Linked DNA regions of Oryctolagus cuniculus. The protein of the gene in region 3 binds, or shares a complex with, the protein of the main gene of each other region. Links are inferred from orthologs where the notes say so. Each region holds a gene or a part of one and is shown on either strand. Other genes may lie near its edges. The genes, in order: FFAR2, GRK2, GNB1, TRPM3, GNGT1, PTGDR2 and KCTD12.

Region 1 (4,272 bases), on a different chromosome or scaffold from region 3:
TGAGAGAGAGACAGAGAGAAAGGTCTTCCTTTGCCGTTGGTTCACCCTCCAATGGCCACCGCGGCCGGCGCGCTGCAGCCAGCGCACTGCGCTGATCCGATGGCAGGAGCCAGGTGCTTCTCCTGGTCTCCCATAGGGTGCAGGACCCAAGCACTTGGGCCATCCTCCACTGCACTCCTGGGCCACAGCAGAGAGCTGGCCTGGAAGAGGGGCAACCGGGACAGAATCCAGCACCCCGACCGGGACTAGAACCCGGTGTGCCGGCGCTGCTAGGCAGAGGATTAGCCTATTGAGCTGCGGGCCGGCCAGTGTGTTTAATTTTTAAAAGAAGTATTTTGAGAGGCAGAGAAAGAGAGAGGGATGCATGCAGATGGAGACCTCCCATGCACTGGTTCATGTCCCAAACCCCCACAGCAGCCAGAGCTGGCCTCTTAGGGAGGGAACCAGACACGGAGAGACCTCGCCCAACTCCGTCCCACCTCCCTCTGCCTCTCTAATACAGAATAAAGAAAACAAAGGAGTTTAAGGACTTCTAGCCTGGAGCACACAAGAGAGGGGGAAATAATGGGAAAAAACAAAGATGCTTCAGAGTTTGGGCCCAGCACAAACAGGGCAAACAGGGGCGGGGGGGGGGGGGGTGGAGCCGAGACCCACTCCCCAGGGCCACCTGCATTCCTGACACTTTCTCACAGCAGGTGGCCAGACCATCCTGAACTGAGCCAGGGCTTCAGCCGCACAAAGGTCTTGGATAGTAGAATTCAAGGATACCTTTGCTTTGGTGGGAAAAATTTTGAAATCTGTGCATGCAAGGGATCTTCAAAAAGTGTACGGAGATGTGTATTATGAAAAAAATTATGCATGGCTTTCCATGGTTTTTTTTTGATACCAAAATAAATGGATCTTAATTTATCTCCCCGGATTTTTTGAAGCACCCTGCCAAAGGCGACCTCACAGAAATCCTGGCTGTCAGTGTTCCCAGGCTCACTTCACTGGAAAGGAAACTGAAGCTCAGGAAATTGATCACCCGAAGGTCCCCGTGAGGGGACTTGGATCGGGGCCCACATCTGCCCGACTCCACATCCCACACTATTTCCAGCAGAACAAGCCGCAAGCTAGGAAAAGCCAATTTGTTCCAACTGAAAGGCCCAGAGAAGTCTGCCGGAGACACAGGGCAGGAGATCATATAGAATGTAAATAATAATAATAATCCATCAAAGGAAGTGGGAAATCTCTTTTCTAAGAAGAGTAGAATTACAGAAGAAATCGCCTAGCAAAGAAAAGAGGAGACTCTGGCTTGGAAAGTGAGAAATGAAAATGCCTGTGATTGAAAAGAAAAAACCAGGAACTAGGAAGAGACAAATCTGTGCTTGGAAGTCAGAGCCAGGATCTCTAGGGAGAGAGCCAAGGAGCCAGGGCCTTCTGCTTTGGGTTCGCGAGGGAAGCGTGTTCACCGCTGACCTGCCTCTCTCGGGTCACATGACACGGGCTGGTATAAAGCCAGCAGCCAGCAGCCAGCAGCCAGCAGCAGTGGCTAAGGCTCTGTCCCTCCTTGCTAGGAGCTTCCAGACTTTTCCTTCAGGACTAACTCCCCGGAGTCATCTCTCTGGAACGCAGGCAGACAAGGCAAGGCAGCTAGCTTGGGGCACGAGCTCTGGAAAGAGACGGTGGGCTCAGAATTCGTGGGGCGGGGGAGAGGTTGGGTGGGCTAGAGGAATCTGTCACACGCACTGCAGTTGGGGGCTCACACCCAAGACGGGGAGCGGAACCTGGACTGGCCACATGTGGAAACTGAGGCACCCCAGCAAGAGGAGGGGCCAGACAGCTGTGGCCGTGGGCTTTTCTAGACGTCTCTGTAAGGGCTTTCAGGGACAAGCCCCAAAGCACAGGACTGGCTCACCCTTCCCCTTCTCCACTTTTCCCCGGCTTCGTCTTTCCAGAGAGTCCCCTGGGGCTGCTGTTGGACAGGGCTGGACACAGCAGCGGAGACTCCGTGCGGTGCAGGAGACAGAAGGGAGAGCAGCCGGTGCCCCTGAGTCCCGCCTTCCAGCTCTGCTCGGCCCTCACACTGCCGCCTTTCTCTCCTGCAGGTCTCCAAGCTGGAATGAGCCTGCGGCGAAGTTGGACGCTGTGACCAGCAACTTCCCATAGCTGTGAGGGCACAAGGAGAAAGGCCCGGCAACCTGCAGGGGGAATTCCCTCAGGCAGCCGAGGGCTGGTTTCCCCCAGAGACACAGGATGGCAAACGTAATTACTGCAGCCTAATATCCCGCCCAAGGCAAAGTCAATAATTACTCTGGGCAGTTCTGGCAGGTGGCGGGAGCGGCAGAGCGCTGGAGCCCGGGCAGCGGTCTGAGCACCAGGGAGGATGTGCGCGTCCTGATCCCCAGGAGGTCCGCCGGCTGGGAGGGCCCCCCTACCCCGCCCCTGGCCCCGGCCCCGGCCCCGGCCAGGCCCCGACCCTGCCCTCTCTCCCAATCCTCCTCCAGGATGAGGCTCGACCTGCACAGTTCCTTGATCCTCACGGCCTACATCATCATCTTCCTCACTGGGCTCCCCGCCAACCTCCTGGCTCTGCGGGCCTTCGTGGAGAGGGTGCGCCAGCCGCAGCCGGCCCCCGTGCACATCCTGCTGCTCAGCCTGACGGTGGCCGACCTGCTGCTGCTGCTGTTGCTGCCCTTCAAGATCGTGGAGGCCGCGTCCAACTTCCGCTGGTACCTGCCGCAGGTCGTGTGCGCGCTCACGGGCTTCGGCTTCTACAGCAGCATCTACTGCAGCACGTGGCTGCTGGCGGGCATCAGCATGGAGCGCTACCTGGGAGTGGCCTACCCCGTGCAGTACAAGCTCGCCCGCCGGCCCGTGTACGGCGTGATCGCCGCTCTGGTGGCCTGGATCATGTCCTTCGGTCACTGCACCGTGGTGATCGTGGTGCAGTACCTGAACGCCACCCAGCAGGTGGGCAGCCGGAACGAGATCACCTGCTACGAGAACTTCACGCAGGAGCAGCTGGACGTGGTGCTGCCTGTGCGCCTGGAGCTCTGCCTTGTCCTCTTCTTCATCCCCATGGCCGTCACCATCTTCTGCTACTGGCGCTTCGTGTGGATCATGCTCACCCAGCCCCACGTGGGGACGCAGCGGCGGCGCCGGGCCGTGGGGCTGGCCGTCGTGACGCTTCTCAACTTCCTGCTGTGCTTTGGGCCTTACAACTTCTCCCACCTGGTGGGCTTCTACTTCAAGGAAAGCCCCCCGTGGCGGGTGGAGGCCGTGGTCTTCAGCGCGCTCAACGCCAGCCTGGACCCTCTGCTGTTCTACTTCTCCTCCGCCGCTGTGCGCCGCGCTTTCGGCAAAGGGCTGCGGCTGTTCCGGAACCCGGGCTCCTCGCCCCTGGGACGCGAGGGCAAAGAGACGGCAGAGGTGACGAGAGGGGGCAGGGCTGGGAGTCGGGCGGAGGGAATGGCGACTCCGGACTTCATGTCGGACTAGCGGTCTCCCTGGACCTTCGGCAGCACCCTGGAGGGCACAGGGGGTGGGCAGCCAGGGTGCCGGAGCAGGAGGTGTCCCGTCCCAGTTTCGGGAATCCTGGGGCCTGATCCACCTCGGGGACTGGGTAAAAGGCTCCCTTGCCAGCTTGGTATCCCTTCCCAAGGACACGAGAAGAAACGGTTAGGCGTGGAGGCACCGTCAGGCTAGGGCTTCAGGAGCTGTTAACCTGAATTCAGTCCTTGGGAGGGGGCTGGGGGCTGGGATGACCAGACAAGGGCAGCGGAGGGGCCTAAAGGATCTCGCCCCAAGCTTGGGTATGACGCCCAGACGCTGGTCTCGCTGCTGCTGCTGCTTGGAGGAAGCCAACGGGAGAGAGATGGTTGGGAAATACTAAACAAAAGCAAGAGCCCAAAAAGGTCCTGAGCTAAGGGGACCAGAAGGGAGGGCTGGGGGCTTAGACCGACCTCTAATGCGGTTGGGGTTCAGGGTACCAGTCTGACCCATTGCTCTGCTCATTTTCGAGTGTTGTGTTCTCCCATCCCCCACCGGTGGGTGAGGTCTGGGTCTCATCTGCCTCCGGGAAGGGGCTGGGCACCCCTAGTCTAACGCTGACCCGGCCTAGTGCAGGAAAAGCCACCTGGTCTGGGAGACTGAAATAAAGACACTAAACCTCTCCAGCGAGTGGCCCCGTTTTGTAGCATTTCTGTAAGCACAGGGAAGGCAGAATGGGGTGGAGAACTGGATGCAGCTGCGCCGGGGAAGGCAATGCCTCAGAGCCCCCAGGAACCTTGT
Region 2 (2,624 bases), on a different chromosome or scaffold from region 3:
TGACGGCCCCCTGTCCCTGCGGCGAAGTTGCTGGACAGCGACCAGGAGCTCTACCGCAACTTCCCCCTCACCATCTCGGAGCGGTGGCAGCAGGAGGTGGCCGAGACGGTCTTCGACACCATCAACGCCGAGACCGACCGGCTGGAGGCGCGCAAGAAGGCCAAGAACAAGCAGCTGGGCCACGAGGAAGGTGAGGGCTCGGGCGGGGCGGGGTGGGCCTGGCGGGGCCTGGCGGGGCCTGGCGGGGTGGGCCGCCGCGCTCAGGCCCCTGCGCTCTCTCGCGCCAGACTACGCCCTGGGCAAGGACTGCATCATGCATGGCTACATGTCCAAGATGGGCAACCCCTTCCTGACCCAGTGGCAGCGGCGGTACTTCTACCTGTTCCCCAACCGGCTCGAGTGGCGGGGCGAGGGCGAGGCCCCGGTAAGCCGCGCAGGTGGGGAGCGGGCGGGGGGCGCCGGGGGCGGGGCTGGGCCTGGCCTCACCCGCCACCCGCCCGGCGCCTGCAGCAGAGCCTGCTGACCATGGAGGAGATCCAGTCGGTGGAGGAGACGCAGATCAAGGAGCGCAAGTGCCTGCTGCTCAAGATCCGCGGGGGCAAGCAGTTCGTGCTGCAGTGCGACGTGAGTGGGCGCGGGGCGGGGCTCCCGGGGGGCGGGGCTCCGGTGGGGGCGGGGCTCCAGGGTAGGGGCGGGGCTCGCGGACGGAGCTGGATGGGAGCTGGGACCCCAGGCTTGGGGGCGGGGCTCCCGGGTGGGGGCTGGGCTCCCGGGCCGGATGGGAGTGACTCCTGGCTTGGGGGCGGGGCTCCCGGGCAGGGCGGGGCTCCAGGGTAGGGGCGGGGCTCCCGGACGGGGCGGGACTGGAGCTGGGACTCCTGAGCCCCCGGGGCGGGGCTCCGGGCAGGTGCTGACGGAGCCCCGCCCCCGCCTCCAGAGCGACCCCGAGCTGGTGCAGTGGAAGAAGGAGCTTCGCGACGCCTACCGCGAGGCGCAGCAGCTGGTGCAGCGGGTGCCCCGGATGAAGAACAAGCCGCGCTCGCCCGTGGTGGAGCTCAGCAAGGTGCCGCTGGTGCAGCGCAGCAGCGCCAACGGCCTGTGAGCCGCCCCGCCGCCTTTTGTAGACCTCTAATTTATTTTGTCGGATTTTTATTATTTGTTTTCCCGCAAAGCGGAAAAGGTTTTATTTTGTAATTATTGTGATCTCCTGTGGCCCCAGCCTGGCCCAGCCCCCAGGGAGGGGCCCGCTTGCCTTGGCTCCCGCTGCCACCCCTGGCCACTGTCCAGTGCCCCCTGCCCCGACCTCCAGGGGCCGCCTGCTCCCAGTGTCTTCCTGTGAGAGGGGCGAGGCGGGGCGGCGGGCCTCTTGCCCCTGGCCCGGGCACGACGTCACACTGACTGTACCCTGGGGCTCCGCGGGCTGTGTCCTGTGCCCAGGGTGGGGCTGGGGGATGGGGGCGGGGCCTCTGCCACAGGGAGGCGCAGCACAAGGATTCTACTTGAACTTGCCCACTGCGGCCCTTCCCGGGACATGGGGACAGACGGTATGCTGTCCTGCTCGCCGGCCGCTGGCGGAGAGAGGGGACCTGCTGTATCCTGTGGCGACTCGGGCTCCGGTGCCCTGTTCGGGAGAAGCCTCCGTGTCGCAGCCTGCCCTGGACACCGTGGCTCAGCCAAGAGGGTGGTGTGGGCAGCAGGTGCTGCCCCGCCCCGACACCCCTCTCTCCCAGCCCCCTCTCCCTCCCACCCGAGCACTTGGGCTCAGGGACCACAGAAAGGCAACTGTGGATTGGGCCATACTGGCCTAGCCTGGCCTCAAGGCCCCCCAAGCCCTGGGCCAAGGGAGGCCCCGCCTGGGTGGGCGGGCAGCATGGCGCGAGGGCCGGCCGTGTGCCCCTCCACAGCCCCGTCCTGTCCGTGCCGCCGGGCACCGCCTCGCCTGCCGCATGCCCCTCGTGCCAGTCGCGCTGCCGTGTGTGGTGTCGCACCCTCTCCCCGGGGGCTGGGTCGGCGCGCCCTCCCCTCCGTCTGCTCACTCCCTGGGGTGTTTCTTTGCCGATTTTTGAATGTGATTTTAAAGAGTGGAAAATGAGACTATGCGTTTTTATAAAAAATGGTGCCTGACTGCTTGTCCGAGTCTCCTTGCATGTGTCCACTGCTGCTGGGTGGGGGGCTGATGCGGGAAGCTCCCGGGGCCCCCAGAGCCGGACCCTCTTCTAGGGGAGGCAGGGCACCCCCACTCTGCCACCGTGCCCCGCTCCCCCTTGGCGGCCATCCAGTACCCATCCCCTGCCTTCTGCCCACCGCCCCGGCAAGCTGCCAGTGGTGCCAGTGGCTCCGCACTTGGCATCGCTTCGCACCAGCTGGCCACCTCTGCCTGCCTGAGCAGCCCTGCTTGGCAGGCTCCCGGCTGAAGTCCCTCCCCGGGGTCAGTCCAGGAGGCTGTGCTGCCCTGTAGGGTGGACCGCAGCCCCCGGCCAGGGCGGCCCTCCTGGCTTCGGTCTCCCCGCTGGCCTTGCTGTATGGCCCCCAGGTCCAAAGGCTTGGGGCGTCGCCCTGTAGCAGGCTGCTCACCTTCCCGGTCAACTTTTGCCCACAGCCCCAGTGGAGGCATGGGGCAAGGC
Region 3 (3,942 bases):
CCTCCCGGCGTCCACGTACACAGCCCCTGCCCGCTCTGGCCTGCGCGCTGCACCCTCCGCCTCCCTGCCGACGTTCCTGTGTCCTGGACCTCGGGTGGGCACTGAGGCCGGGACCCACCTCCAATGCCCAGATCCACCCCTCTGCGGCTCCACTGCCCCGTGGCCCTGGGGCTGCCCAGCACGCCAGCCCTTCCCTGAGGCCCATATCTGTGCCCACCACTCACACTCCACTGGCCAGTGAAGCTGCCCCACCAAGGGCCCACTGTATGGTGTCCCTGTGCTGGGCACAGCCGAGCATCACCCCACATCTTCCACACCTGCTGTGGCTTTCCCGGGGATGCCTGGTGGGGCCGGGGAGCGGTGGGCGAGGCCGGCCTCGCACTGTGGCAGGGGCAAGGGTCGGTCAGGGTCTCAGGCGGCCAGGGCCAGAGGACAACATGTCTGGGGCGGTGACCCCACCGGAGCCAGCAGCTGGAGTCACAGGGCGGGGGGGGGGCAGGAGAACACGCCCACACTGGTGCACACAGTCAGGAGCCTTCCTGTGGGGGTCAGCAGGGCGGGGGGAGGGTCCTCCGCACATGGGCCCCGCGGCGTGGGGTGGGCCTTGGCGAGATCCTGCAGGTTCCCCGTGCTCCGTGGCACACCCAGGTCCGCGCACCCCCCCTCTGCCTGGCAGCCGCCTCACGCGGGGCCCACGCGGTGTGGAGGGTCCAGGCCGCGGCTCCAGCGAGCCCAGCTGCACGGGCGCACGCCCGGGGAAAGGGGCTTCGGGTTGGACTTGGGACCGCGGCCAGACCAGCTGGACGGGGGGGGGGAGCGAGTCCACGGCCCCCGAGGCTCCAGCGGACGCATCGCGACCCCCGCCCTCCCCACCCGGCGCCCGCGCCTCGGCTGTCGGGCCTCGGCACGCACGTGGTCGCTCCTCGCGGGAGGCCACTCGGGGGCACCGGGCTCCAGAGCCCTCCGGCGCCGTCTCCCGCAATGCGCCGGCCCTCGGCCCGTGCGCGGCGCAGAACCGGCTCTCCGGGCGCCGGCCGGCGCGAGCAGGGGAGCCAGGGCCTAGGTCCGGCCGCAGCCGGGGCCGCGGGGCTCCTTTAAGAGCCCCGCGCACGCGCGCGTCGGCTCGGGGAGCGCGCGTGCGTGCGCGCGCCCGGCGGCCGTGCGCGGTGACGCGGCGCGTGGGGTTTCCCGAGCTGCGGGCAGGGGCGCCGCGCCCATCCCGATGGCTGGAGGCGTCTGAGGGGCGGACGGCGGCGGGCGCGGGCGGGAGCGGAGCGGGAGCGGCCGGAGCGAGCAGCCGCCGCGGACCCACAGCCTCGCCGCGCACCTGCCCAGCGCCCGCAGCGCGGCCCGAGCGCCAGCCTCGAGCGGCCCCGGCGGCGGCGTGGGCGTCAGGCCGGGCGAGGGCGCCGAGGTGAGCGCGGCCGCCGCGGCCCAGCCCCGAGCCCCCCGGCCCGGTCCCCGGTGCCCCGGCGTCCCCGCGGGCCCCTTCCCCTGCCCGCCGGCGCCCGCCCCGCCCCCACCGCCGGCCGGGCCGCGTCTTCCTGCCCCGCCCGGGTGGGGCTGCGGGGCCCCGGGAGGCGGCGGGGGTGCGGGCGGGGGTCCGAGCCCGCCCCGAGGCCAGGGCGCGCCCGGGCCAGCGCGGGTCGGGGGGCGGCCCCCGCCCGGCGGCTCGGACCGCGGCCGCGAGAACAAAGGCTGGCGCGCCCCGGGCCGCGGGAGCCCCGCCGCGCGGAGGGGCGGCCGCGGCGGGCGGCCCCGGGCTCGGCGGTCGCGCCGCCCCGGCCCGGAGCTCGGGGGCCAGCGCCGCGCGGGCGGGCGAGACCCCGCGGCGACCCCGGCCCTCGCGCGGCGTGGGCGCCGCGTCCGGGCCCCACGGCCAAGATGGCGACCCCGCGGCGCGGCCATTGTCGCCGGCCCCGCGGGCTGCGGGCCCCCCGCGGCCCTGGGCGTCCCGCGTGGGGGCGCGTGCTCCGGGGGCCGCGCTCGTCCTGGGGGCCGCGCTCGTCCTGGGGGCGCCGTGGGGCGCTGCGGCGCGGGGCGCCGGCCGCGGGAGGAGCCCTCCGGGGCGCGCCGGGTGGGCGCGGGGTGGGCTGCTGCGTGTGTCCGTCGGTGCGACCGTGCTGTCACCGTCGCTGCCCGGGGGAGACAGCTGGGCTTTTGTCACGGCCAGCTCGCCGGTGCGGGGATGGCAGGCGGCTGCGGGCAGCGCGTTGGGTCTCCGGGGCACGCGTGGCGTGTGCGTGGCGTGCCGCTCCGGTGGAGCTGCAGGCTTTTTGGAGGGAAGGAGCGCCGTCTGGACGTGAGGATGCGGGCGCTTCCGGGGGTGCGCGGCAGCCAGACGGCGAGGGAGCAGTTCCCTTTCCGCCGGCCGGCGACACGCGGTGCGCGGCGGGGCTGGGCGGGAGCCCGAGGGCCGCAGCTGCAGTGCAGGTGCCCGGCCGGGGCCGGCGAGGGCCCCGAGGATGCTGCGGGGTTTTCTTGCGTGGAAATCCGCGCCGGGGGCGCCTGAGGAGGTGGCCCCGCGCCCACCCTGCTGCCTGGCACGCGAGGGGTCGGTTTCGTGTTCACTCCGGAGCAGCGAGCGGAGAGCGCTCCGCCTGCCCGGTGCCGGAGGCGGGTTTGCGGGCAGGGGCCGCGCCCTGAACTTTTCTCTTGGCTGCGCCGGGAAAGTGTGGCCCCCAGACGGCCGGCGGGGAGGGTGGGGGTCTCGGCCCCGCGGGCAGCAGTGGGCTCTGGCTCATCCTGCTCTGAGGAGGAACACTGGTCTCATTTCGGAAGTGCAGTGTTGGCATCTGCTGTAGCTTCTTCATTGGATTGTTTTTCTCCGCCCGAGAGATTTGGCTCATGTCAGTCTCCAAATTGGATTAAATTCTTGCTGCCTGCGGCTTTGGCTTCAGCGTTAGTGGATTGGTAATAGATAGGCTCAATTTTATTATCTGGGCTTGACCATATGGCAAGCAATATGATTTTGAAACCCCTGTTTAGTGCAAGTCTCGTAAGACGTGGACAGGGTTCTTTAGATTATTTTTAAACACTGTTTTGAATTCTGGTTTCAGGTTTGTGTTTGCTGATGGAAATGAGTGGTGGGATTACGAAGCGGTTTCACATGAAATGGGGGGATGAGAACAGATCCAGGGGCTTGAGCCCCAGCGGCTGTTCCACTTCTGAGCCAGTTCCCCGCAGGTGCGCCTGGGAGGGCAGCTGAGGGAGGCCCGGGTGCCTGGGCCCCGGCACCCACGGGAGAGGCCCTGACCGAGCTCCAGGCTCTGGCTTCAGCCTGGCCCAGCCCTGGCCGGTTCGGCCATCTGGGGAGTGAACCGGCGGGTGAGTGGGTGGGAGATCTTTCTGTATCTGCCTCTCTTTGTGTAACTCTGCCTTTCAGGTAAATAAATAAATCTGTAATAAAAGCGAATGTGTGTTGAGACAGGGAAATGATTTACATGGCTGAGACTTCACACTGAAGGAGTGTGTATACGTACGGGAGCGCAGGGCCCTGTGGCTGGGCTGCGGGGGACGGGGCGCCTGTGCCCCACAGCTGTGAGCTCTGTTTCAGACCCCGCACCTGGGAAGTGCGGCGGCTCCGGGCCGCGAGCCGTGCGCGGCCAGGGGAGGCGAGGAGCCGCCTCAGCTCCGTCCTGTGTCCTTGTGCAGGCGCTGCCTTCCGTGGACCCGGGCTGCTTGCTCGCTGCTAGTGAGACTGAGTGAACGTATTCCCTTATTAGCTTAAATCGGAATTCTGAGAAGGAGCCTTTCCGAAGAGCTTAATTTAAAAGACGAGACTTAACTAAAATGATTCTTAGAATTACCCGAGAATTCAGCCTGTTGTGCCACTGATGAGAGATGATTATGATTTAATAATCACTGCGAACGTAATGCGTTTTATCAAGGGGCAGGTTAATTCTGTATCCTGTAACCTACTAGAATTGGAATGCTGAAGGC
Region 4 (3,500 bases), on a different chromosome or scaffold from region 3:
AGTCCACTCAAGCCCCTATAATGAAAGACTATAGGGCCGGCACCACTAGGCTAATCCTCTGCCTTGCGGCGCCAGCACACCGGGTTCTAGTCCCGGTCGGGGCGCCGGATTCTGTCCCGGTTGCCCCTCTTCCAGGCCAGCCCTCTGCTGTGGCCAGGGAATGCAGTGGAGGATGGCCCAAGTGCTTGGGCCCTGCACCCCATGGGAGACCAGGAGAAGCACCTGGCTCCTGCCATTGGATCAGCACGGTGCGCCGGCCGCAGCGCACCAGCCGCGGCGGCCATTGGAGGGTGAACCAACAGCAAAAAGGAAGACCTTTCTCTCTGTCTCTCTCTCACTGTCCACTCTGCATGTAAAAAGAAAGACTATAGACAGGGTGACAGGGTGGCTGGTACACAGCACAAAGTCACTGCTTCTGGTGCTGAAGGCTGAGAAGTTTCATCAAGTCAGCAGCAGACCCGGCATCTGGTGAGGGCCTGTTTCCTGGTTCAGAGACAGTGCCTGCTACCTCGTCTCACACGGGAGAAGAGTGTGCGGGTTCCCACAAACCTCTTTTGTAAGGACACCATTCCCATTTATGAAAGCTCATTCCTCTGGACCTCAGCACCTCCCCCAAAGGCCCATCTCCTAACGCTATCACTTTGGGGATTGAGACATCACCACAACTTTGAGGAGGGGCACAAACCTTCAGACCATAGCATTCATTCAAGTACTGGATGTCACAGAGATGTCAGTGAAGCAGGATTGTTAAAGAGGGTGAAGGAAATCTTGGTCCACAGCCGACATTATAAACCCACCAGTTCTAGCCTCAGATAATCTTTATGTTTCTCTCTACTTTCCTAGTTTTTGGTGATGCACCAAAATCACCCAATCCCTAGTTCCCTAGAATTTCTGTAAATAAATGGTGTTTTGTTTAGTGACATGAAGCAAATACTATAGAGTACAATAGAGTTCTTATATTACTTGTTGAAGATACAGTAGGATTCTGTTCTTACCACTATGAAAGAAAGACCTAACTTTGTTTGCAATATTTTTTAACAGCCCAAAGCCTTGAAACTGCTGGGAATGGAGGTAAGCATTTGCTCAAATTTTTAGTGTCAATTATTCTTTTTTATTACACATTTAAAAAATAAACATGTAAGCTCATTTCAGTGGTAGAGCTTAGTGTATGATTTTAAAATAAGGAAATGAACATTGTCCAAGTGTCATGGGGGCTATGACCATAGCTTTGAAAATTCTGCCAGGAGGTTATATTAGCATTGCCAACAAAAAAAAAATCCTATCTGAAATACTAACTTGAAAACCCAGGAAGTATATAAATTCCAGTAAGCAAAATCTATTCATGGGTATTTACAAAAGCCCAGAACTCCTCCACAAGTGCATCTCGTGAATGTGCAGAAACTTGAGATGGTCTGTTTCCAATCATTGTCCACGTGGCTACTGTTGTACATGCAGATGCAAGGAAAGGATGCCCTTGTCCTTTTAGCAAAAAAGACAGTGCTGGTCCTCATGTGGTATAAACAGTCCTACAAGTAGAGGAAAAACATGGACTACAGTGGAAAGGAAAAGACCCGTTAAAACCATTTTAATTAAGTATAAAACTTACATATTCCCCTAGGACTAGACCTATGCATTTATTATATTAGATAGTTAGGCATGGATGAGCTTGTGAGTTCTTTTCAGAAAGGAGCCGGCCTAGTTCATTAAAGTGTTGCTCCAGAGCTGAGCCAACAGAAGATCTACAGTAATTCCCTAAAATAAACAGATTCAATTCTAACTCCTCCTCTATGTGTTTCCCTAAAACCACAGGATGATATCCCCTTGAGGCGAGGAAGAAAGACAACCAAGAAGCGGGAGGAGGAGGTGGACATTGACCTGGATGACCCTGAGATCAACCACTTCCCTTTCCCTTTCCACGAGCTGATGGTGTGGGCCGTCCTCATGAAGCGACAGAAGATGGCCCTGTTCTTCTGGCAACATGGCGAGGAGGCCATGGCCAAAGCCCTCGTGGCCTGTAAGCTCTGCAAAGCCATGGCTCACGAGGCTTCCGAGAACGACATGGTGGATGACATTTCTCAGGAACTGAATCACAATTCCAGGTTAGCCAGCCTGGGGAGCAGGGTGGTCAGATAGACCCCAAAGACTGGAGAGTCTGAGCTGCCCAAAACTCTAAGGGGAGCAGGGTCACCCCAGTGCTGCACCCAGAGGATGAACAAAAATAATTAGCCTTTATTGTGCACAGTGCTACACACAGAGGCACCTGCAGACACGCAGAAGATAAAACCGCATCCTATCAGCCTACCCAGAGATGGGTCCAATTATCAAGCACTTCTTTTGGCTGTGGAAATGAGGCTCAGAGATTTGAAGTAATTTGTCCAAGGTTACACAGTTGTGGTTGGCAAGGCTGGGATTTAAACTGAGGTCGGTCACATTGAAGAAGACACCCTACATTCCTTGGTTGACTGCTTCTCCCATCCTTTGCCTTGAATGCTCTGAGTTCAGGGATCTTGGCTTGTTTGACTGACATCTCCACTTCTGAGTATGGTATCTGGCACACAGTAGATGCTTAGTGGATGTGACTAGAGGAACTTAAGCACAGACCAGACCCCATATGAAACAGTTACTCCACATCAACCGCATTTGTGACTGGCAGTGGGTGCTTGCCTTTCTCACCTAAGTCTCCCACTTGACCTGAAGGACTCTTATGCCCTTTTCCTTTCAGGGACTTTGGCCAGCTGGCAGTGGAGCTCTTGGATCAGTCCTACAAGCAGGATGAGCAGCTGGCCATGAAACTGCTGACGTATGAGTTAAAGAATTGGAGCAATGCCACGTGCCTGCAGCTCGCGGTGGCTGCCAAGCACCGTGACTTCATTGCCCACACATGCAGCCAGATGCTGCTCACCGACATGTGGATGGGCCGGCTCCGCATGCGCAAGAACTCGGGCCTCAAGGTCAGTGCACCCAAGAAGGCCCTGTTGGCTATGAGGGCCAGTGGGTTGGTTGGAGTTTGCCAAGCCAAATCTGCAGTGAGATGGGACATTCTCTATCTCAGGAGGATGATGCTAAATCCTAACTCCCATCAGACTCTCCTGTCTGGTGGTTTTGTGTGTGTGTGTGTGTTTGTGTGTGTGTGTGTGTATATATATATATATATATATATATGGAGAGAGATATATGCACTGCAATCTCTCCCCCAACCCCCAAGTCCTGTTGAACCAGAATATCTAAACATGGGGCCCAAACAATATTTTTCAGAACACTGTGATGGTTATGCCCAGGTACCTGTGCAGTGGCATAAGCCATGCTGAACCAGGAGCCCAAACCTGGTTAGCTCTGCATGCAGTGGCAGCCTGAAGTCCCTGGCGTTGTTCCTGGCATCATGTCATACAGACCCTGGGTCTCAACAAATATGCTTGAGAAATTTTCAAATTATTAAAATAGGACGCTTACATATAAAGACATTGCTCTATAATCCTAATGTACTCGTAAATGAAGAAAAG
Region 5 (4,127 bases), on a different chromosome or scaffold from region 3:
ACCCCATGGGAGACCAAGAGGAGGCACCTGGCTCCTGGCTTCAGATCAGCACGGCGCCGGCCATGGCGGCCATCTGAGGGGTGAACCAACAGAAGGAAGACCTCTCTGTCCCTCTCTGTCTATAACTCTACCTGTCAAATAAATAATAAATTTTTTTTAAAAGTGCCTTTGTCAAGATTTCCTGATTCTCTTCTGTGTGCTAAACAATACAGACAATAATAGGCAAGCAAAAATGAGCACAAGAAAGTTACAAAGAGTCTGTCCTTCCTAGGAAAGGTCCTAATGATCCATTATATCTAAGGTTGGATCTCCTGGAAGCAGAACCTAAGTGATTTATCAAGGGCAAGCTCACAGAAGAAACCTCTGGAGGAGTAAGAAAAGCAAGATGGAGCAGGAGGAGAAGTTAATAAAAAATGAGGTTTCAGAAGACTAGCATTATCCCAAACCTGAGGAGTTCTGGAAGGTTCCGTATTGCAGAAAGCTTGTCCAGAAGTGAAAGGTGAGGCTGTTTGGACCACACATCAGCCAACCTTTTGTTACGCAATACCCTCAGGGACCAGCTTGGAGAAGAATCTCCTAGTTTCAATCAGTTAATACCTGAGTTCTCATCAGCCAAACCAACCTGTGCAGGAAAGTTTGGAGATATGGGCAGGGCAACAACAGCATCTACTACAAATGATGTCAAGGGAACTAAATGATGCACATGTGGTATCCTGTAAGAGGAATCCCTGTAAGGGCACCACTTGGCTACCATGAAATATTTCCTAGAGAATTTCACAGGAGGATCACTTGAATCAATGTGTAATGAGGAAGATGGCTCCAACTGAAGAGATGAGAAGATTCCTAGTAGGATGGAGGGGTCTATTCTTGTTGAGATGTGCATTGGTACCCCTGCTAACCTACTGCATTTGTTTATCCTTGTTATACAATTCATGAGAGTTACATAGAAATCCCAGGTATTGCTTGGAGACACAGTTGTAAATAGTACACTACTTTATTTCTGATGAAGAAGGTTGTTTATAGTATTTCCAAATTAATCACTTTTCAAGTCATTATACTGAAGTATAATAACACTTTTTATACGGTTCCTTTTAAATACCAGATTAAGTACGCTAGTGATTTAGCAGATTAATGAGCAGTCCTCAAAATGACCTCGAACTAGGTTAAATGGCACAAATTATAAAGTGAGCAGCTTTGGAACTGGAAGATGAAGGTTGATGACCCGAAATCTTACACTATGACAAAGAGAGGGGGGAAGGAGGAGCTTTAAGCATTTCAGATTTTATAGAACGGCACTGACCCCTCCTTGCAAACCCACTGGCAGGTGTTTAGAGTCAGATACTTGGCTTAATCATATTAGAGAAGATTACGAAGAAGCTTTAAAATCCCAAGACTACTGTTCAGTGCTAGAATTGTTCAGAGACGGCTCATGAGAAATTGATTATCACAGGAAATTTAAAATAAAACAAAGAACAGCTTGCTTAGTAAGTGACAAACTGAGAGCACAGTTGGCTAAGGTGGACTCAAAGTGATTCCAGCAACTCAGTTCTATGTGTTCACTTCCTATCTTTTTGGCAGGTGAAAGATGCCAGTGATCAATATCGAAGACCTGACGGAAAAGGACAAGTTGAAGATGGAAGTTGACCAGCTCAAGAAAGAGGTGACTCTGGAAAGAATGCTGGTAATTTCCTGCTTGCTTCTGGATTTAGTTTAAGCTAAAGATGTTGTGGAATGCTAAATTGGAAAGCATTAACTGTCTTTCATTTATTTATTATTGACTGAGGAGGCTAAATATGGTTCAAAATAAACTGTTCAAGTAAAACTTCATCAGAGACTGATAAAATTAATAATCATAATTCTTTGTTGATTGAGACTTTAATTCAAGGAGTAAGCAGATTATTTTCCATAAGCCAAATTTAACCTTTAATCTGTGCTTTGCATGACTGCCAAACTAGGAAAGATTTTACAGTTTAAAGAGTTATTTTTTTAAAAAGGAAAGAAAGAGGAAGGAAGGAAGGAAGGAAGGAAGGAAGGAAGGAAGGAAGGAAGGAAGAAGGAAGGAAGGAAGGAAGGAAGAAAGGACAGACAAAGGACAGAAGAGAGGGAAGAAGAATATGAAATAGAGATCGTATTTTAGCTATAGAATAAAGTGAAGCAATGCATACAGGTATTTTGTTTTTACTTTTCTAAATTCACAAGCTTTTCCTTTTTTCCATGTAATATTTTGTGATTGTTGAGACACTTAGAGCCATGACCTCAGATCCCAGCACTGTCATGGTCAGAAATAAATGAATGCATTCCATTCTTCTTTTGCAAATTTTCTTTTACCTAACAAAGAATTCAAGCACAAGAACTCCTTGGCTCCTCCTAGACACATCTGGCAGGTCTCAGAAATGGTTACAAGAGTTCTCTGCACTTAGAAGGAATAGAAATGGCAAAGGAATAAAGCTTCCAACAATAAACAGTGACTGAAGCTTGGAAAACACAGATGTGCATTTTAGATTTCTTCATTTTAGGAAATTTGTAGAACAAAAACTTCTCTGTAGATGATAACAGCATATTACATATTTTTTTAAAAAAATCTAACTTTATCAAGACAAAGTGGAAAGGGAGTTTATATTCTCTTCGTACTTTGCTTACAATTTTACTCCCAATCAAAATTGGGATTTTAGCTTCTTTTATATTTATAATTGTCTCAAACTTACCTGCTCTCCTTTCCATGAAATAAAATGTGTTTCACTGTAAAGATAAAACTAAGTCTATAACCAGCACAAAACTTGGAACATGCAAGAAATAAGTTGAAACCCTTATCTTTGTAATTTGAAGGAAAAATAAATGTCTGCGGTAAAGGAATGTTTTTCTTTCTTCTTTATTTGAAAAAAAAAATCCAAACACTGTCTTATTATTTGTGTACTCAGGATTGTTGTTTTGTAAGCAATCTGGTTGTCTTCATACTTATTATTCACTTGTGGTAAATTTACCTCAGAATTCTTATATGGGATAAAGTTCATATACATCACCATCCACCAGGCTTTGGGGTCCTTTTCCCCTATTATTCAGTTTCCAGGCTCTTGGAATATCAGATGGCAAGCACTTGCACACACACACACACACACACACACGCACACACACACACAGAAAGAGAGAGAAGTGTGTGTGGGGGGAGGTACATTGTCTTAGTCTGTTCAGCCTGTTATAGCAGAGTGCTACAGCCTGGGTAGCTTATAAACAACCGAAATTTATTCCTTACTATTCAGGAAACTGGGAAATCCAAGGTCAAGGTGCACAGCAGGTTCGGTGTTTGGTGAGGGCCCACTCCCTCATTCACAGTGCTCTGTTCCCTCCGTCCTTGCTTGGTGATTGCAACTAGGAAGCTCCCTGGGTCTTTTCACTAAGGACACTGCTTCCATTTGTGAGGGTTCTGCTCCCATGATCTAATACCACCACTTTAGGGGTTAGGATTTCAGTGCACAGGTTTGCAGGAGATAAAGCATTCAGGTGAACACATATTCATCATGGAAGCGCCAGGTCCTGAACCTAGAGTTCTGACTGACGTAGTATCACTACCATGGTTCAATGGGTAGATTCGGAACCATATTCCTGACTCAGATTCTGGTTCCACAACAACTTTCGGCCTGTGTCACCTTCACTTAAGCTAATCTACGTAATTGACATCTGCCTGTGTTCTTCAAAGTGGAGGTAGTAATAGCATTTAATTGAGAGGACAATTGGGAGAAATAAATATGACAATGGTCACAAAGTTCTGAGAACAACGTCCAGGACACAAGTGCTTTCTACACTATTTTACTATTGATATTTAAAATTATTAATATCTATGAACCAAACTTGTCATATTATGCCTCAATCTATTTTGTTGTCAATGCACTAGTATTGTCAGAGTAAGAAAACCCTTTGCATCTAGTTTCTAAAACTGACAGATTCTCAATGATGAGGCAGGCAATGGCTAAAAACAATCTTTGTAGTGTTTGCTAAAAGAAGTTACCTTTGATGGTGCATCTTCTTGCGTCAGGCTCTTGTTAGGCGCTTAATGCAACCAGTGTTGCTATTCTTATTTTACAGTAATGGGACCCTAGATGAGCTGTCTTCACCAAAGAATGCACTTCTCA
Region 6 (4,255 bases), on a different chromosome or scaffold from region 3:
CGGCCGGACCGCGGACGGCCGCGGTGGCGCAGCTGCACGCTCACGGCCGCGTGGCTGGAGGCGATGATGACCAGCGGCACCAGGAAGGCCAGTAGGAACTTGCTGATCGCCAGGGCCGCCTGGCGCCAGTTGCAGGTGGCATCGAGGTCCGGCCCGGGGCTCAGCAGCAAGACGTTGTAGTAGCACATGATGCGTCCGTCCCGCCGCGGGATGGTGTCACGGAACACGAAGTAGGGCACGGTGTTGAGCACTGCCAGGGCCCAGAGCGCTAGGCAGAGTCGGTGCGCCGCGGCCACCGTGCGGTGGTTCTGCGCCCACACGGGCCGCACCACCTGCAGGCAGCGGTCCAGGCTGATGGCGCTGAGGAGGAAGCCCGTGGCAAACATGTTGAGGAAGAAAACAGAGGAGTGCAGCTTGCAGAAAGGGGTGCCCAGCTCCCACGAGTGGCCCACGGCCAGGAAGTAGGTGAAGAAGGGGAGGGAGGCGGCGGCCAGCAGGTCGGACAGCGCCAGGTGCAGCACCCAGGTGGTGACCACGGTCTGGCGCATGCGGAAGCCCACCAGGAAGATGATGAGTCCGTTCTCCACCAGGCCCAGCACCCCCGCCAGCCCGTGCAGTAGCACCGAGGCGTGGTCCATGTAGCGGATGCTGGAGTTGCTGTGGCTTTGCAGCTGGCTCATCTGCTCCAGGAGGGGGCACAGCGGCTTCAGCGTGGCGTTGGCCAACATGGTGGGGCCCTGTGGGGACAGGGAGGAGGCACCCAGGGGAGCGTTGTGGTGGGGAAAAGGCGCTGGGGTTGGCTGGGATGGGGGATAACATTCCAGCTCCCCCTCCCCCTCCCTGTACAACCTCAGGCAAGGCATTGACCCTCCCTGCGCCGGTTTTCTCCCCATGTGGCTTGGGTAGCAGTCCTGACAGTACCTGGCTCATAGGGTAGCTTAACTGGAAGAGTTAAATGAGTTAATACACTAAAGCGTGTAGAACGCACACAGCAAGGCTGTACCGGTGTCATGTGATTATTAAGCAAATGATCTAAGACAGCGAGGTCGGCCACCAAGGACTCCTTTACCCACTCCCCAGAACCCCTGTGGGATGACTCTGGGCCCCAGTGGGGGAAGCAGGGTCCAGAGAGGAGCAGTCTGGGCCACCCCTTCCCACTCACAGCACCCCCACCCTTGCCTCTCTGCAGATGCTTCCAGCACCCTTGGCGTCCACCGTAGTGGCAGATTGAGTGTGTTGGCTGCAAAGAGAAAACTTGCCCCTCCTCCGCAAGTAGGAGAGGAAATAAGATAAGAGGAGGGCGTGAGCCCTGCAGGAGGAACCACCTGATGGGGGCCCTAGGAGCCCAGGGGCCAAGAATCTCATCCCTGCCTGCCGCAGGAAACTCAACCCTGCTCCCTCCTTGATGCCCTCAAACCCACGCCTGCTCACACAGGAGGTGCCAAGCAGCTGCTCAGGGACCTGCTGGACAAGCCAGGCTCTGGTAGAGGCACCGTGCTGGGACGTGCGTGCTCGCAGCCTCCCCAAGAACCCCAGACCCTCCAGTGAGGAATCAAGTGGGCCACTCCCTGTGGGGGTGGGGGGTGCTCTAGTTGTGCTGGGTTCCCAGGCCACAGCAAGGATTGCAGCAGATCCTTCCAAGAGGCACTCTCATGTCACGGGTCTGCTCCATCCCATTTTACAGAACAGGAAACCGAGGCTGATGTGTACAAGTACCTGGCCCAGTCACCCAAACTGCAGAACCATGTACAGGAGCAACAGTGGAGAACGCGAACGCGGCTGGGGCTCTATCCTTGCTTAGAGATAATGGGGGGGGGGGGGCAAGAAAACTGTCGTCCAGGGTGAGAAAGTGGATTCCTCTCCAGGGATCACAGTCCTTTAGGGTAGTAACCTGACATACAAAACTGGAGTTTCCCTGGGAGACAAGGCCTTGGGGTCAAGGGTCTGCAGGCAGGTGGGAGGGGAGCAGCTGGGCCTGCACACCCTGAAAGTGGCCGTAATTCCTAAGTTTTTGGGCTTATAGAGCAAATACACTCGCAATGAGACCCTGTTTTTCAGAAGAGAAAACAGGTTCTGAGAAGCTCAACAACATGCCCAGTGCTCCTCGGCCGCAGCCACGGGGCTGGGACTCATTCCCCACCGACAGATAAGTGCACCACCGTCCCCACCCTGTGCCCAGAAACATCGCTTCCTGTCTGAGTCCCCTGGGGCTGCCCAGAGCGCACAGTCCTGCTGCACCCCTGGGAACCATCCAGACCTGGCCCTCTAGCTACATGGAGACAGCCCCCAGACCTCCAGGGGGTCCAGCAGCTGGGGTCATGCTTTGAGAGGGAGTTGGGAGAAGAGAATACAAACTTTGGGAATCCAGGACCTGGATTTGAATCTTAGCTCTTCACCTCCTGGCTGGGTGAACTTGGATCAGTTATCCTAAGCCTGCTAGTGTAATCTTGCCACCCAAATGGCTAGCACACATTGAAAGAGACAATATGAATGGTTTACCATTGTGTTTGGCATCCAGTTAAGGTCTGGGAAAATGCAGTCCCCTCCTCTGAGCATCTAGCCTCCCCTGGTCTCTGCCTCCTAATTGGTAAGAGCCCTCTCTCCTGGTAAAACTGTGCCTTCTCTGTTGGATCCAGGGAGGCACCAGGACAACCCCATCCCTGGGCCCCCACCTCCTTACCTGAGCACAGAAAGGGCACAGGATTCCAGGCCCTGCCGAGCGAGCAGGGAGCTCCCAGCAGTAGGCAGAAGAGAGGCAGCAGGCAGGCGGAGGCAGGGAGTGAGGTTGAGGGAGGAAACCGCTCTCAGCCCCAGAGTGCGTGCGTGCTTGTGTGTCTAGGGGTGGGGTGGCGGAAGGCGGGGACAGCTGCCAAGTGTCACGCTGGTGTTCAAGTCTCATTCCTCTCCATTCATGCCGGCAGTTCCTGCTCCATCCCTGCCACGGAGGAGACGTTGCAGAAGCCCCAAGAGCAGTGCACATGCACATGGTGTCGTTGCTGTGTGCACGGAAGTGGGAGCCCCAGCATGCTTTGGAGAGTGACAAGAACGAGTGCAGGGGCCAGGGGACGTCTTGACCAGCTGCCCACTGTCCCTGGGATACCCTGCCCGACACCATAATCCTCAAGAGAGGGAGCCCGTCTGGCTATTCTGGGGCCCCGTGCTGGCGCTGCCCGCGCTACCCCCGCCCCTCTCACAGGAAGGTCAGTCACTTCCCTTTGTGGCCTCAACACAGTTTTGCCACCTGGGACTGGCAGTGATCATGCCTGCCTCTCAGGTCAGGGCAAGGGTTGAGGAAGTGTTACCTGGTGCACAGTAAGTGCCCGACAAAAACAGCTCCTCTCCCTGGGAGGGAAATGGGTACAGGGCAAGGGCTACACTGCTTTTATTTTCTAAATAGGCTCAAAACCCTAGGAGACGGGCCAGCATTGTGGTGGTGCAGTAGGTTAAGCCACTGCCTGCTGAGCCAGCATCCCACATCAGAGTACCTGTTTCAAGTCCCGGCTGCTCCACTCCAATCCAGCTCCCTGCTAATGCACCTGGGAGGGCGGCAGCAGATGGCCTGAGCCCCTGCCACCCACATGGGAGACCCAGGTGGAGTCCCAGGCTCCGGGCTTCAGCCTGGCTTAGGGGAGTAAACCAGCAGATGGAAGATTTCTTCTCCCTCTCTCTCTCTCTCCCTCCCTCTCTCCCTCTCTCTCCCTCTCCAGTGTCTCCCTTCGTATCTCTGTCTTTCAAAGAAGTGCATTTTTTTTAAAGAAGCCCTAGGGGAGGGGAAAAGACTGAATCTATGCATTGGCATTCTACTGTACCCTGACTCTTTGTTTTTTAAAAAAATTTATTTTATTTATTTGAAAGAGTTACAGGGAGAGGTAAAGACAGAGAGAGAGGTCTTCCATCCGCTGGTTCACGCCCCAGATGGCTGCAACGGCTGGAGCTGCACCGATCCGAAGCCAGGAGCCAGGTGCTTCTTCCAGGTCTCCCACACGAGTGCAGGGGCCCAAGGACTTGGGCCATCTTCTACTGCTATCCCAGGCCATAGCAGAGAGCTGGATCGGAAGAGGAGCAGCCGGGTCTAGAACCAGCATCCATATGGAATGCCAGCACTTCAGGCTAGGGCGTTAACCTGCTGCGCCACAGCGCCGGCCCCTACCCTGACTCTTGACCACCCTTCGATGACCAAGTGCCAAGTGTGCTGGGGTGGGGGCCACTCCTCCAGCCCAGCATCTCTTGGGAGCCGCTGGAATTCTCCCACTAT
Region 7 (4,081 bases), on a different chromosome or scaffold from region 3:
GAAGCGGCAAACAGCAGGTGCCCAGCAAACATTCGCTGACCCTGACCCGTGTCGTGTCGTCTTATCTTCCTCTGGCTTCTCCTCGGCTTCCCGACGCGCTCAGGTGCACGTATATATTTGTATACAAAGTCATAAATACATTCCGGACTTGTGGGGCGGGAGGCAGTGCGTGTGCAGGCAGCAGTCCGGAGACTCTACCCTCTTGGGAAGCCAGGGAAGGCTTCCGGGGGAGGTGGCATGTGGGCTGCCATCTGTCTAGTAACGTGCAAGGAGCAAGTGTTGGGGAGCCAGAAAGGATCTAAAAGATGCTGTCCCATCTACAAAAATCTCCCTCTGGGGAAATCGGGGAAGGGCTGAAGGGAATGACGGGGACGTGGAGGAGAGCGGGGGTGCATGGATCTCTGGCAGGATCCACACGTGGGAGTGATCAGGCAGACACTGGGATTTCTTGTATCATTTACAATGTCCAGTATGGACTCACTCTTCCCTCAGTCTGGCCTAGACAGCGCTGCGGGGGAGGGAAGGTGGTTGCATTGGCCGCCCCCACATCACACCCTTCGCCCAGCCAAGTCCCTGGTGCTGTAATAGCTCACAGCTTCCTACTTTGAGGTTCCCCGACCAGCGCCTCTGGCGCTGCACCCAGAGCTTGAACTTGGGGAAAGAGTTTTGCACAGGACTCTGAAGTCAACCTTTGGTGTCCAGGGCTCGTTTTGAGGCCACCGTGCACACAGTGTGGCTCCTTCCGGGTTGGGCGGCCTTCTCTGTGTCTCCAGATTTTTTTGTTTCTAAAACTACCATACCCCAGGAAGGCAGCGCCCGGGCTGCGTGGTTTGGATGGGTCCATTCCGGGGTCGGCCGGGCTGGAGGTGGCCCTGCACTTCCAGTCCCAGGGCTGGGAGTGTCAGAAAGTTGGCGTCCTCTGTCTGAGTCCTCCGTGCGGGCCGGGGTTGGAGGGAATCGGAGTGGTCACTGCTGTCTTGCGACGAAGCCAGTCCCGGGCTCTGAGCGCTTCGGGAGAAGGGAGAAAGTTGGGCAGAAGCACGGAGCCGGCCGTTGGGGAGCCAGGCGTGCCGTGGGCTGGGAGCGAGGTCGCCCCTGGGTGCGCCTGAACCAGGGTGGAGCCAGCAGCCTAGCCGAGGCCCCGCGTCAGCGTTTAAGATGCAAATCGATCCCGCAAGCACGCCCCACCCTCCCGCCTGGGGTGGGGGGAGCCTGGCTCCACCGCTCAGCGGCCGCCCACGCCTCCTGCGCGCCACGGCGCCGGAGCGGGCGCCTCTACTTAAGCTGCGCGCGGGCTGCGACCTGGCACTCGCCTGGAGCTCGCGGGCGAGGCAGCCGGAGCGCAGCGGAGCTCCCGCGGCTCACAGCGGGGCGCGCTAGCTGCACTTGGCTCCGTGCGGCTCGGGCTCGGGCGGAGGGCTGAGAGCGCGTCCCGGGCAGGGGCTCCGGGGAAAGCGGCTGCAGCTTTCGAGTGCAGTCCTGCTCCCTGCTACTGCCCCAGCCGGGCCACCTCTTTGCCATGGCTCTGGCGGACAGCACGCGAGGATTACCCAACGGGGGCGGCGGCGGGGGCGGCAGCGGCTCCTCATCGTCGTCCGCCGAGCCGCCGCTCTTCCCCGATATCGTGGAGCTGAACGTGGGGGGCCAGGTGTATGTGACCCGGCGCTGCACGGTGGTGTCGGTGCCGGACTCGCTGCTCTGGCGGATGTTCACGCAGCAGCAGCCGCAGGAGCTGGCCCGGGACAGCAAAGGCCGCTTCTTTCTGGACCGGGACGGCTTCCTCTTCCGCTACATCCTGGATTACCTGCGGGACTTGCAGCTCGTGCTGCCCGACTACTTCCCGGAGCGCAGCCGACTGCAGCGGGAGGCCGAGTACTTCGAGCTGCCCGAGCTCGTGCGCCGCCTCGGGGCGCCCCAGCAGCCCGGCCCGGGGCCGCCACCACCGCACTCGCGGCGCGGGGTGCCCAAGGAGGGCTCACTGGGCGATGAGCTGCTGGCCCTGGGCTACGCGGAGCCCGAGCAGCAGGAGGGCGCCTCGGCCGGGGCGCCGTCGCCCACGCTGGAGCCGGCCAGCCGCAGCCCGTCCGGGGGCGCGGCGGGCCCGCTGCTCACACCGTCCCAGTCGCTGGACGGCAGCCGGCGCTCGGGCTACATCACCATCGGCTACCGCGGCTCCTACACCATCGGGCGGGACGCGCAGGCAGATGCCAAGTTCCGGCGGGTGGCGCGCATCACCGTGTGCGGCAAGACGTCCCTGGCCAAGGAGGTGTTCGGGGACACCCTGAACGAGAGCCGGGACCCTGACCGGCCGCCGGAGCGCTACACCTCGCGTTACTACCTCAAGTTCAACTTCCTGGAGCAGGCCTTCGACAAGCTGTCTGAGTCTGGCTTCCACATGGTGGCCTGCAGTTCCACCGGCACTTGCGCCTTTGCCGGCAGCACCGACCAGAGCGAAGACAAGATCTGGACCAGCTACACCGAGTACGTCTTCTGCAGGGAGTGAGCTCCCGGGACCCCTCGCGGTTCCGGCGCCCGCCCCCACCCCTCGGCGGGGGAGAGGATCAGAGACCGCTCCCCATCCCTAACCTTTGCCCTTTGTCTCCCTTTGCCCCGAGGTCCCCAATCCCCGGTCCTGTCCTGGGTCAGACCGTTCCACCCCCCCCACCCCCTCCCCCACCCCCGCTTCAGAAAAATCCATCCTCTTTTCTTTTCTTCGGACTCGGCTAACCTAGGGGGCCCAGGCGCGTCCCCGTCCCCACCCCCACCCAATGCTTCCTCTTTTTGCTGCCTCAAACCTCTCCTCCCCCAGATTGTACTTCAATCTGGATCCAGCGGGCCAGTGTGGTTACAAAGCCGGCACGAACCGGGGGGGAGAACCGAGGTGTTGGGAACCCGTTCAGACTGTGCAGTGCTGCGAAGATTCCTTGAGATCTCGAGCCCTTCTGACACCCGTGTGGTGTGAGGGCGCAGAATGGTGACCCCGCCTGGGGGAGAGAGTTGGTGTCCTAACAGCTCACTGCCATCGCTGACCCTCTGTGAAGCCGGATTGAGGGCGTCGCTGAGGCACTTCGGTTGTACACGAGTGAGGTTTTGAAAAGCTGCAGGTGTAGACGTAGGAGCACTGGTGCTCACATGGTCAAGGGTCCTGTCTTTTCCCTACGGAATACAGGGTCTTGAAACTTGGAGAGCGTGGATCCTCCTGCCTGGCGAGGCGCCCTTTCAGCGCCAGGAGCCCTTGGTTCCCTGGGGTGACGTGGGAGCCCTTGGGGGCAAGAGGGAGAAGGGGTGTTGGTCTCCTAAGAATTAGAACCAAACAGGCCTCCGCTCCGTGGGGAGTGGTTACCTGGAAGTGATTGTATTCGCGACCGGGCCAGGAGACGCTCGTGGGCATTAGCAGAACTGTATTCTTGCAGTGAATGGTAATAGGACCTTTCTTAGAGCTAGGACTTTGCGGGTGGGGTGGGGAGGTAGGAGAAGAGGGTGGGAAGGGAGGGACAGATAGATACTCTTATTATTTGAAAGTTAGAAGTTTTAAGCATCCATTTGAATACGTGCATATTTGAAAATACCGAATGGTAAAATGCAAACACAGCTAAGCATTTCGTGAAGATTAGTAATAGACCTACTCTTAACTGCGGTTTATTTAACTGTTTTTAGTCCTAAACTTAGAAGTTGCTACTAGGTATCTAATCTAACCAAAGAGTTACCCAGTAGGGTTTTAGTTTTTGAACTTTTAATTTCCTTGTGGTTATCAATCTCGATTTTAGAATCTATTTACTTGAGCAAAGGGAGTTTGCTCTTGGCTTCTTAGACTTCAGATCTCATTAAAAATCCTCATTTTCTTCAAAGCCAGTGACCCTTGACTGCGGGGCAAACCTGAGAATGCCACATTCCCCCCACGCAGTTTGTTTGAAGTTCAAGTAGAATCTTTTCAAGTGACAGAGCTGCTGAGAAGTAGGAGCACCAGGGGCTACCCATCTGTGTAGATAGCTGTAAAATGAGATTTCTAAAATGAAGGCAAATAACTACTTAACAGCGAGCTGAGCAATAAAATGGTGTTAGAGGTAAACTGTAACCAACA

The links.
Region 1: the proteins of GNB1 (region 3) and FFAR2 are in contact, whole or in part, in a cryo-EM structure (PDB 9CM7), measured with the Homo sapiens proteins. The link is inferred for Oryctolagus cuniculus from reciprocal best matches to the Homo sapiens genes GNB1 and FFAR2. Residues at the interface, in NP_001269468.1 of Homo sapiens: Arg52, His54, Leu55, Asp312, Ser334, Phe335; in NP_001357016.1 of Homo sapiens: Arg37, Gln38, Pro39, Gln40.
Region 2: the proteins of GNB1 (region 3) and GRK2 are in contact, whole or in part, in a crystal structure (PDB 5UKL), measured with the Homo sapiens proteins. The link is inferred for Oryctolagus cuniculus from reciprocal best matches to the Homo sapiens genes GNB1 and GRK2. Residues at the interface, in NP_001269468.1 of Homo sapiens: Leu55, Ala56, Lys57, Tyr59, Ala60, Gln75, Asp76, Gly77, Lys78, Pro94, Leu95, Arg96, Ser97, Ser98, Trp99, Val100, Met101, Leu117, Tyr145, Ser147, Asp186, Met188, Cys204, Asp228, Asn230, Asp246, Ile270, Cys271, Asp290, Phe292; in NP_001610.2 of Homo sapiens: Tyr553, Gly556, Lys557, Asp558, Phe584, Pro585, Asn586, Arg587, Glu589, Pro597, Gln598, Leu600, Thr602, Glu604, Ala654, Leu657, Val658, Val661, Pro662, Lys663, Met664, Lys665, Asn666, Lys667, Arg669, Pro671.
Region 4: the proteins of GNB1 (region 3) and TRPM3 are in contact, whole or in part, in a crystal structure (PDB 6RMV), measured with the Mus musculus proteins. The link is inferred for Oryctolagus cuniculus from reciprocal best matches to the Homo sapiens genes GNB1 and TRPM3. Residues at the interface, in NP_001153488.1 of Mus musculus: Lys57, Tyr59, Trp99, Val100, Met101, Leu117, Tyr145, Gly162, Asp186, Met188, Cys204, Asp228, Asn230, Asp246, Arg314, Trp332; in NP_001349418.1 of Mus musculus: Lys615, Arg616, Lys618, Ala619, Lys621, Leu622, Leu623, Gly624, Met625.
Region 5: the proteins of GNB1 (region 3) and GNGT1 are in contact, whole or in part, in a cryo-EM structure (PDB 7L0P), measured with the Homo sapiens proteins. The link is inferred for Oryctolagus cuniculus from reciprocal best matches to the Homo sapiens genes GNB1 and GNGT1. Residues at the interface, in NP_001269468.1 of Homo sapiens: Leu30, Ile33, Thr34, Ile37, Val40, Ile43, Met45, Arg48, Arg49, Trp63, Ser84, Tyr85, Thr86, Phe235, Pro236, Asn237, Asp254, Arg256, Ala257, Gln259, Leu261, Ser279, Lys280, Ser281, Gly282, Arg283, Leu284, Leu300, Asp323, Gly324; in NP_001316355.1 of Homo sapiens: Met31, Val33, Lys35, Cys36, Cys37, Glu39, Val40, Arg41, Tyr43, Val44, Arg47, Ser48, Asp51, Pro52, Leu53, Val54, Ile57, Asn62, Pro63, Phe64, Lys65, Glu66, Leu67.
Region 6: the proteins of GNB1 (region 3) and PTGDR2 are in contact, whole or in part, in a cryo-EM structure (PDB 8XXV), measured with the Homo sapiens proteins. The link is inferred for Oryctolagus cuniculus from reciprocal best matches to the Homo sapiens genes GNB1 and PTGDR2. Residues at the interface, in NP_001269468.1 of Homo sapiens: Thr50, Arg52, His54, Leu55, Gly310, His311, Asp312, Ser334, Phe335, Lys337; in NP_004769.2 of Homo sapiens: Cys59, Arg60, Arg62, Lys314, Arg317.
Region 7: the proteins of GNB1 (region 3) and KCTD12 are in contact, whole or in part, in a crystal structure (PDB 6M8S), measured with the Homo sapiens proteins. The link is inferred for Oryctolagus cuniculus from reciprocal best matches to the Homo sapiens genes GNB1 and KCTD12. Residues at the interface, in NP_001269468.1 of Homo sapiens: Arg8, Glu12, Lys15, Arg19, Thr184, Asp186, Cys204, Asp205, Ser207, Thr221, Thr223, His225, Glu226, Ser227, Asp228; in NP_612453.1 of Homo sapiens: Lys246, Asp251, Leu253, Glu255, Ser256, Arg257, Asp258, Pro259, Asp260, Arg261, Pro262, Pro263, Arg265, Arg269.

Annotation. Positions count from the first base shown.
Region 1 is NC_091449.1:19,139,642-19,143,913, forward strand, and holds FFAR2 (free fatty acid receptor 2), read left to right. Parts: upstream 1-1,472; 5' UTR 1,473-1,623; intron 1,624-2,087; 5' UTR 2,088-2,244; exon of another isoform or gene 2,245-2,390; intron 2,391-2,486; 5' UTR 2,487-2,487; coding exon 2,488-3,480; 3' UTR 3,481-4,161; downstream 4,162-4,272. UniProt on the Homo sapiens protein: G protein-coupled receptor that is activated by a major product of dietary fiber digestion, the short chain fatty acids (SCFAs), and that plays a role in the regulation of whole-body energy homeostasis and in intestinal immunity.
Region 2 is NC_091432.1:4,736,464-4,739,087, reverse strand, and holds the end of GRK2 (beta-adrenergic receptor kinase 1), read left to right. Parts: intron 1-27; coding exon 28-190; intron 191-287; coding exon 288-424; intron 425-510; coding exon 511-624; intron 625-937; coding exon 938-1,102; 3' UTR 1,103-2,124; downstream 2,125-2,624. UniProt on the Homo sapiens protein: Specifically phosphorylates the agonist-occupied form of the beta-adrenergic and closely related receptors, probably inducing a desensitization of them. Key regulator of LPAR1 signaling.
Region 3 is NC_091438.1:163,893,410-163,897,351, forward strand, and holds the start of GNB1 (guanine nucleotide-binding protein G(I)/G(S)/G(T) subunit beta-1), read left to right. Parts: upstream 1-1,142; 5' UTR 1,143-1,414; intron 1,415-3,942. UniProt on the Homo sapiens protein: Guanine nucleotide-binding proteins (G proteins) are involved as a modulator or transducer in various transmembrane signaling systems.
Region 4 is NC_091432.1:159,810,223-159,813,722, forward strand, and holds part of TRPM3 (transient receptor potential cation channel subfamily M member 3), read left to right. Parts: intron 1-1,041; coding exon 1,042-1,071; intron 1,072-1,809; coding exon 1,810-2,099; intron 2,100-2,722; coding exon 2,723-2,951; intron 2,952-3,500. UniProt on the Homo sapiens protein: Constitutively active, non-selective divalent cation-conducting channel that is permeable to Ca(2+), Mn(2+), and Mg(2+), with a high permeability for Ca(2+).
Region 5 is NC_091447.1:42,000,558-42,004,684, reverse strand, and holds the start of GNGT1 (guanine nucleotide-binding protein G(T) subunit gamma-T1), read left to right. Parts: upstream 1-1,327; 5' UTR 1,328-1,484; intron 1,485-1,578; 5' UTR 1,579-1,585; coding exon 1,586-1,681; intron 1,682-4,127. UniProt on the Homo sapiens protein: Guanine nucleotide-binding proteins (G proteins) are involved as a modulator or transducer in various transmembrane signaling systems.
Region 6 is NC_091432.1:11,723,167-11,727,421, reverse strand, and holds the start of PTGDR2 (prostaglandin D2 receptor 2), read right to left. Parts: upstream 2,801-4,255; 5' UTR 2,681-2,800; intron 738-2,680; 5' UTR 729-737; coding exon 1-728.
Region 7 is NC_091440.1:35,613,310-35,617,390, forward strand, and holds the start of KCTD12 (BTB/POZ domain-containing protein KCTD12), read left to right. Parts: upstream 1-1,281; 5' UTR 1,282-1,519; coding exon 1,520-2,503; 3' UTR 2,504-4,081. UniProt on the Homo sapiens protein: Auxiliary subunit of GABA-B receptors that determine the pharmacology and kinetics of the receptor response. Increases agonist potency and markedly alter the G-protein signaling of the receptors by accelerating onset and promoting desensitization.